Arabidopsis thaliana: one gene and its partner. The protein of the gene in region 1 interacts with the protein of each later gene in a pairwise test. Each region holds a gene or a part of one and is shown in the gene's direction. Other genes may lie near its edges. The genes, in order: PGPS2 and UMAMIT30.

The links.
Region 2: the proteins of PGPS2 (region 1) and UMAMIT30 interact in a protein complementation assay, tested with the Arabidopsis thaliana proteins (one large-scale study listed by BioGRID).

The regions. Positions count from the first base shown.
Region 1 is NC_003074.8:20,394,537-20,398,467, forward strand, and holds the start of PGPS2 (phosphatidylglycerolphosphate synthase 2), read left to right. Parts: upstream 1-2,060; 5' UTR 2,061-2,323; coding exon 2,324-2,504; intron 2,505-2,812; coding exon 2,813-2,910; intron 2,911-2,990; coding exon 2,991-3,041; intron 3,042-3,139; coding exon 3,140-3,253; intron 3,254-3,340; coding exon 3,341-3,397; intron 3,398-3,487; coding exon 3,488-3,688; 3' UTR 3,689-3,931. Other genes in the region: AT3G55020 (Ypt/Rab-GAP domain of gyp1p superfamily protein), read right to left, coding at 95-177. UniProt on the Arabidopsis thaliana protein: Catalyzes the committed step to the synthesis of the acidic phospholipids, including phosphatidylglycerol (PG). Together with PGPS1, required for the proper embryo development by providing PG accurate levels.
Region 2 is NC_003075.7:606,490-610,420, forward strand, and holds the start of UMAMIT30 (nodulin MtN21 /EamA-like transporter family protein), read left to right. Parts: upstream 1-1,783; 5' UTR 1,784-2,096; coding exon 2,097-2,281; intron 2,282-2,654; coding exon 2,655-2,717; intron 2,718-2,866; coding exon 2,867-2,983; intron 2,984-3,078; coding exon 3,079-3,466; coding exon of another isoform or gene 3,467-3,502; exon of another isoform or gene 3,503-3,555; coding exon 3,556-3,707; intron 3,708-3,817; coding exon 3,818-3,931.

The DNA.
Region 1 (3,931 bases):
AGTCTAGCAAAAAGCTAAAGAGAGAAGAAGCGCAAGTTCAAACCAAAAAAGAGGAAGCAGAAATGTACAGGGGAAAGGGGGAAAAACGCGAAACCTCTTGTGCTCAAAGGCGACGAGAGGATTAGAAGGCTTAGAAGCAGCAGCAGCAGCAGCGGCGGCGGCGGCAACGCTCCTCATTCGTTAGCGTGAAAAAGAGATCTAACCGGTGAAGAGTTGGTGAGAGGACGAAGAAGAAGATCCAAATCTCTACGCTAGTTCATCATTACCCGAATGAAGTTGAAGCAGGAGGAGGAAGTTGCAGTAGAGAGAGAGAGGAAGTGGAGAAATCACATGGAAAGGGCGAGATTGTCGACCAAGGTTTATTACATGTGTGACTCTCTCTCTCTCTCTCTCTCTCTCTCTCTCTCTCTATTTTGACTGCGTTTCGATTCCTTGACACTGAGTCCAAAAGGTCTCTTTCATCTTTCTCTCATTTTTGTATATCTTTTTTACTCCTATCTTTTTAACTACTTACTGATTTTGTATGTAAATGTGAATTTCACAGTTGTCTTCCAATATTTTGCTATGTCAATTTTATCTTCAGATAATTTGATTGAGTTAATTATCTTATTTGTAAGACCAAAATGACAATTTGATGAAAGAAAAATCATATCCTTATATCTAATTTTTGTGTGGTTGTGCGAGTCTATATCAACCTACTTTGAAAGATAGACAAAGTTGTTATTAGATATGGGATTAAGGACATCTACGTCATGTATCATCCTTATAAGATTCAGTTTAAAGTACGAACGTTATTAATTTGATGTATGTGTAACAAGCGTGAACGTATGGTTTACCATACCGTATTCAATTTGTAGCGCGACCATGGTTGGTCTTTAATTATTAACCTCAAATAGTCGAACTTCAAAAAAAAACTAAACACATTTACCAAAATCTTTGATTGATGAGATTCATTTTTAACCCTAAAAAGATAGATATGCAAGAAAATAATTGTGGGGATTGTAATGGTTGTCGATTTGTCGGTAAAGGACCAATTGCTTTAGGAGTTGGTAAAGGACTTTTCTAGGGAATTAAATATGTCTTTAATTTTTTTTTATTTTTTTTTAATAAGTTTTTCTTAGATTCGCTAAATCCATAATCTAAGTATTCACCATATTAAATTTAATCAAGTGGGAAATTTCTATCATATATTAATTAGAATTCTTATTTTAGTTACTAATTGTTTGACTCTAATAGAACTTTCATATATGTAGTTAATAGTCTCACTCTTTTTTCCTTTCAATCACACTTGGCAAACTTAAGAGAGGTTTACATAATTGTGTTAAGAGTTTTAGGTGCAAAATCAATAGAAGATGAAACAAATATGAAAATCCAGATTTGAGAAATTATGAAGAATATCCACCAATGGCTAGTTGAATATATACACAGTTATAACTTTAGTCAATTCAATGGTTTAAATATTATAATCTACTATTTCGTGTACTGTATATTTATTTACCTATATACGTACGTGTATAATTTGGAGTTTTGTTTAGGGGCTAGTAAGGAGCTTAAATTCTTGTTTCTATAATACTCTCACGTTCTCAAACACTTGTTTACAAAACCAAATATTCGTCGGTTTGGGTAAACCAACACAAATGATTATATGGTTGTTCATTATCACAATGATTATCTTCCAAATGTGCACCAAGTTTTTGTTAGTGTTTTAGATTCAATCATGGAAGTATGGAACCACAAACGTACGTAAGAGGAAGAGTGCAGCACATAATAGAAAAGAGCAATGGCCAAAGAAGGCATTACAACGAAATGAGACTTGGGATTTGACACACATCAACTCATGCAAAAGGTTGTAGGTAGCGAATGGGTGTTGAAGATTAACTATCAAAGTGATGACTCCATCGAACAATATAAGTTGAGATTAGTAGCTATATGATATATTTTTTTTGGTGGGAAGTAGCTATATGATATTGATTCATGCAAACATACAACGAAGATATTAGTTTTACATTTTTAACAAATATATAAAATCAAAATCAGCTAAGAATTAAAGAGAAGGCCCAAAACGTGCCATTTGCTTCATTATCAATCGTCCATATCAATCCAAAGTCGACGATTATCGGCGCACGTTACGCACCCGGCTCGCTTATTTTCATAGTTAGCGCACGTTAGCATCTCTCCCAAGCTGCATTATTATTGGCCGTTGTGTGACTCCCATAAAGGCTTAGGGTTCCGGATTCAGGTCGGTGTCGCCACCGCCCTTCTTCGTGCTTCTCTTCCTTCTTTGTCGGATCGTCAGGTTTACAGATCAGCTCTTGTGGAGGATATGGGTGAAGAAGACACCGCGACGGTGGATCAGAACAGTTTCGGTGGTGGCAAAGATTCATTGCTTCGTAATCGTCATTCGTCGCCATTGCCTTCACCGACACAGCTTTCTTCTAAAGTGATTACATTGCCTACCGTATTAACCCTTGGCCGTGTAGCTGCCGTTCCGATTCTCGTCGCCAGTAAGTTTACTTTTTTCGACTCTGAATTCTGGTTGGAGTCATTGTACTTGTTCGGTGTGTGATAGGAGTCTAATCATCAGATCTAAACGAAGATGCAATTGCGATTTTTCCAGATCAGAGTTTTGTTGGTTTGAATTCGAGAAATTCGACAACTTTTTTGAAATTGAGCTTATTGCTATGTGTACTTCACTTGTTACCACTCTTCAAATTTAATCTGAATTGGATCTTTTGATGTTCAATTCCTGATTTTGATTGTTTTATCTCCCATTGCATTATCTTCATCATCTCCTTTGGTTTTTGAAATGTAGCCTTTTACGTTGATTGCTGGTGGGGAAGAACTGCTACGACAAGTATTTTCATTGCAGCAGCCATTACAGATTGGCTTGATGGATATATTGCACGGAAGGTAACTTCTTTCTTTACCCTTTCATGTTCTTCTGCATAGTTGAAATTGTAAGCTTTTAACAGTGAGACGTGCCTTTTCAGATGAGATTGGGTTCTGAATTTGGTGCATTTTTGGATCCAGTGGCAGATAAGGTCAGATACCTTCTTCCTTAGCTACCTCTATCCTCTTTATCTTTTCTCCACCAGAAAGGAATGATTTTTATCATTCTGATTTATGTCATTGGTATGCGCTTATGGTAGCAGCTACATTGATATTGTTGTGCACTAAACCAATGGTCGCCGTTGTCTTAGGACCAGTTCCATGGTTAGTGACAGTACCTTCAATCGCCATCATTGGTAGAGAGGTAAGATACAGAATTCTGATATACCGTTAAGTAAGTTTCACTTATCAGCTTTCTGTTCTAAACTAGTCGGTATACTTTTCACTGTAGATTACTATGTCTGCAGTAAGAGAATGGGCTGCATCTCAAAACGGCAAGCTTTCAGAGGTAAAGTTATCACCATCATGTGCGTTCTCTTGGATCTGTTTTCGTAAGTGTTCCTTTCCTAATCCATGGAAATGGCATTGATGTTGCTAGGCTGTTGCTGTAAATAGCTTGGGAAAGTGGAAAACTGCAACGCAGATGATAGCGCTAACCATACTTCTTGCAAGCCGGGATAGCAGTTTTGAGAGACTATTACCGTCGGGTATTGGGTTGCTCTATGTATCTGCAGGGCTCTCTATATGGTCTTTAGTTGTTTATATGAGGAAGATATGGAGAGTACTGCTAAAGAAGTAGCAACAAAAAACTCTTTTTTCGGGCTTTTTGCATTCAGTATATACACATAGAATGGAAGATTTACCTCTCTTCTTCTTGAAGAAAGCTGACTAATTTCTCTCTGGATACAAATGAAATTAGTTGGGCAAGCACTATAAGACTCTTATATGATGCTTTAGTTCTGTTTTCAACTTTGGGCACTGGGGTCGTACTCTACTTGGTTTGGTTTTGTATAATATCTCTGAATCACATTGCTCCGGCTAG
Region 2 (3,931 bases), on another chromosome or scaffold:
AAATCAAATACGTTTTTCAGTTGTGCGATCTATGATATATTTTGGTGGGAGTGAATAGGTTTTGGATATGACAGATACACATTTTACTCGTGGGTGGGGTATTTAGCTTACACTTATATAGACATGATAACTATACAGTACATGGCATTTCACTGGATTTGGGAAATTTACTGTTAAATCATATTAATGGTTTGCTCTATTACGTGAGTTTTACCTTCTGAATATTATAGTTGGAGACAAAACTTTAATGCTTTTAAAAGTATAATTGGGAAAATCTTTTTTCTTGCAAAATTAAAACATTTTATTTGGCAGGTGGCAACAAGTTTATTGTCAATTAGCTTCAGGATGTGTGATAACAAAAAAACTTCAAATGTAGCCTTGCCATAAGCTTCACCGCTTATGGTTTTCGTTGATGATTTAATCCTCGAATGTCTATGCTTTCATGTTTTTTACAAAAATTTCTCGGACCAATTAAATCCTAAACTTTCATTTTTTGAAATGATATTTACAGTTCTTATATTCAAAAAAAAAATCAACTATGTGACCAGTGGAAGAAACATTATTCATGTGTTATTTGAATGTCTTTCAATATAAAGTTGGGTAATTTGTTTTGATGCAAGTAGTAGTAAAGTTTATTTTTTATTTTTTTATTATGTGGTTAATCTGGAAGTATGGAACCAAAAAAAAAAAAAAATAAGGAGGTCATCTGAAACCATCGGAGTTTGGTTGATAAAACTTTTCTAAAAAAAACTGTATTTTTTATAGTTTATTATGACATTACGAACATATTTTAATTTTAATTTTTTGCTGTTTGGCTCCAATTGGGCTTATAAAATCTGGTATTTACGAAAAAGGAAATCTAATTATCTTATCATCAGTAAGCTTACATATTAATAAATCTTAAACAGAAAAGAATTTGGTGTACTTGTCAATTTACAATGTGTCGTATACCTTATAAGTTTATAGAGATAGTGAAAGTATGTTTTAAATTATAATTTTGCTTCTTTTTGGGGGAAATATTAATTCAATTGTTCGGTACAAAGGCAACTTTGCTTTCATTTGATGAAATGATTGGGTTTTATCCATTTCTTTAATTTTTGTTAAAATGATTACACTGAACTCGTAATTAACAACGTGAGCAAAACAACAATTTTTAATTCGATTAGTGCTACATATATAGTCGATAAATATAATAAGAAAAGTTGACGACAAACTCAGTTATGGACCGGGGTGGGTAGCTTATTAGTGAAGCTGTTGTGTTATAAACTTATAGTACTGTTTTAAATTTAGAAGAGTATTTGTATGAGATTTAGTTGTATAAGAAAAGAAAAAACTAATTTTCATATTATTAATTTAATTTTATGTCTTTAATTACCATTATTTAGTCGTGACTTAAATAAATCTAACATATTGAGAAATTAATTATAATTTTTTGACACCACTAAACTTTACTGAGTAGTGGTGTTAGTTTTATATTTCCTAGTATTTAGTTGTATTTTTTTTTTTGTAGTTTGACATACCCGTATATCATTTACCTAATAGTTAATATCTTTAGAAATATATACTATTAGCATGCCCCCGCATAGTTTATAACAAATATATAGTTAATAACTTAATACATATAGAAACATCATTCATATGTGGTATATACATCATCACAGTTACATATAAATATATATATATATATATATATTACTAATCCCTTCCACCGAGAAAAACAGTATATTCTATACCTACAATTTCAAAAAACAAATGTTTCATATAACTTTACTTAATAGTTTTTTTTTTTTTTCTGTTAAAGAACTTTACTTAGTAGTTCTATAATTTGTTTCATAGTTAAAAAAGAATTCAATACCTACTCGTTCTTTAAATATTTTCATTGTTTTTTGTTGTTTTAGAAAGAAATGGGCTCCAACTCAACATCCATGTTATTTATAAATATATCCACCTCTAGTCTTAATATTTCACTACTCAAACAAGTTTCTGAAGAAGAGACAGAGAGAGAAGGATAGAGTAAAAGCTAAGAGAGAGAGCGAGACTGAGAGAGAAAGAAAGAGATATCATTTTGGTTATTAAGTAATTAACTTATACTAATCATGGGTTTTATCGATGGAAAGTGGGCACCAATGATAGTCTTAATTGTTTCTAACATGATTGCGGGAATGGTTAATGCTTTAGTTAAGAAAGTTCTTGATGGAGGCATCAATCATATGGTTATTGCTACTTATCGTTTGGGTATATCTACTCTTTTCCTTCTTCCAGTCGCTTATTTTTGGGAACGGTACGTTTACTACTTCTTCTTTGATTTTTATTTTCGTAGCTTTCAGATTTTTATACATTTCGTTATGCCTTAATAAAATAATAAAATATTTAAAAGTTTGTGGCAGTGTTTTTAAAAAAATTGAATTTTGGTTACTATGTTGTGAAAATACAAGAAGACACAAATATCACGTTTGATGCTTCATCTCTATCTTTTTTTTTCTGGCTAATTACTTTATTTAATTTATTTTATTTCATAAGATAAAAGAATATTAACTTGAAAACAATAAAGAGTATATACTAGAGAGTTTCATGAATGTTTTTCTATGTACGGATATAGAATCAGAATTGTGTGTGCCTAACAAAATAAATATTCGATTTCATGATTTGTTCAGGAAAACAAGACCAAAGCTAACTCTAAGCATCTCATGTCAGCTTTTCGTCAGTGCCCTTTTTGGGTAAGTTTCGGTTTTAATCCACTAAATCCTTATGTTTTTCTATTCTCTCCCTCTTTATTGCTTTTTTTGTATGTTTATGTAAGATGTTATTTTTTTTTGTTTTTGATAAAATGAAATATAATCGTTTATCATAAATCTTTCTTTTTCAGGGCGAGCTTGATGCAATATTTCTACTTGCTTGGACTGTCCTACACGTCTGCAACGCTGGGATCTGCTTTCTGGGCCATAATGCCTTCCCTCACTTTCGTTATGGCTTTAATATTTGGGTACAATTATTGTTAAAATAAAGAAAAGTGCCATATACGCTATCATCTCAAGTGTAATCTTACACCTTTTTATTTTGAAAAAATAAAATTTGCAGGTTCGAAAAGCTAAGTTTGAAAACAAAAATAGGATACGGTGTCGTTCTTGGAACTTTGATAAGCTTAGTAGGAGGTTTACTTCTTACTATGTATCAAGGGATTCCATTAACAAACTCTCCAGAACAAGCAGCAAATTCAAATAACCACACAGGACATGAGAATTGGATCAAAGGTTGTTTCTTTTTATTGACCGGAGTTGTTCTTTTCAGTTCTTGGATGCTTATACAAGCCAAGATCAACGTGAAATACCCTTGTCCATACTCGAGTACCGTTATTTTGTCGGTCTTTGGTACGCTTCAATGCGCCCTTCTTAGTTTAATTAAGACTAGACATTTGGAAGATTGGATCCTTAGAGATGAGCTTACCATCATCACCGTCGTTATAGCGGTATATAAGACAATGTTTCGTCAGACATATAAATAATTTGGATCCACACAATAATCAGATATTGATCTATTGTTAATATATGTTTATAGGGAGTGGTTGCACAAGGTATGTGTACGGTGGGCATGTCGTGGTGTATCAAACAACAAGGACCTGTCGTTTCCTCATCATTTAGTCCTGTCGTGCTTATGTCTGCAACCGTGTTCGATTTCTTGATTCTTCATCGTGAGATTTATTTGGGAAGGTATATTATTAAAAATCTAACTGTATTAACTTTATATTTTAACTATATAAACCTCTTGAATATATTATATCATGTGCATGTTATGGACTAAACTTTTATTATTGTTGTAGCGTTATTGGATCTGTGGTGGTTGTGATCGGTTTATATATATTTCTATGGAGTAGGAGTAAGCAAATAGTAGAGTGTAAGATCATGAAGTTGCCTACCAATACGGTGGAAGAAGA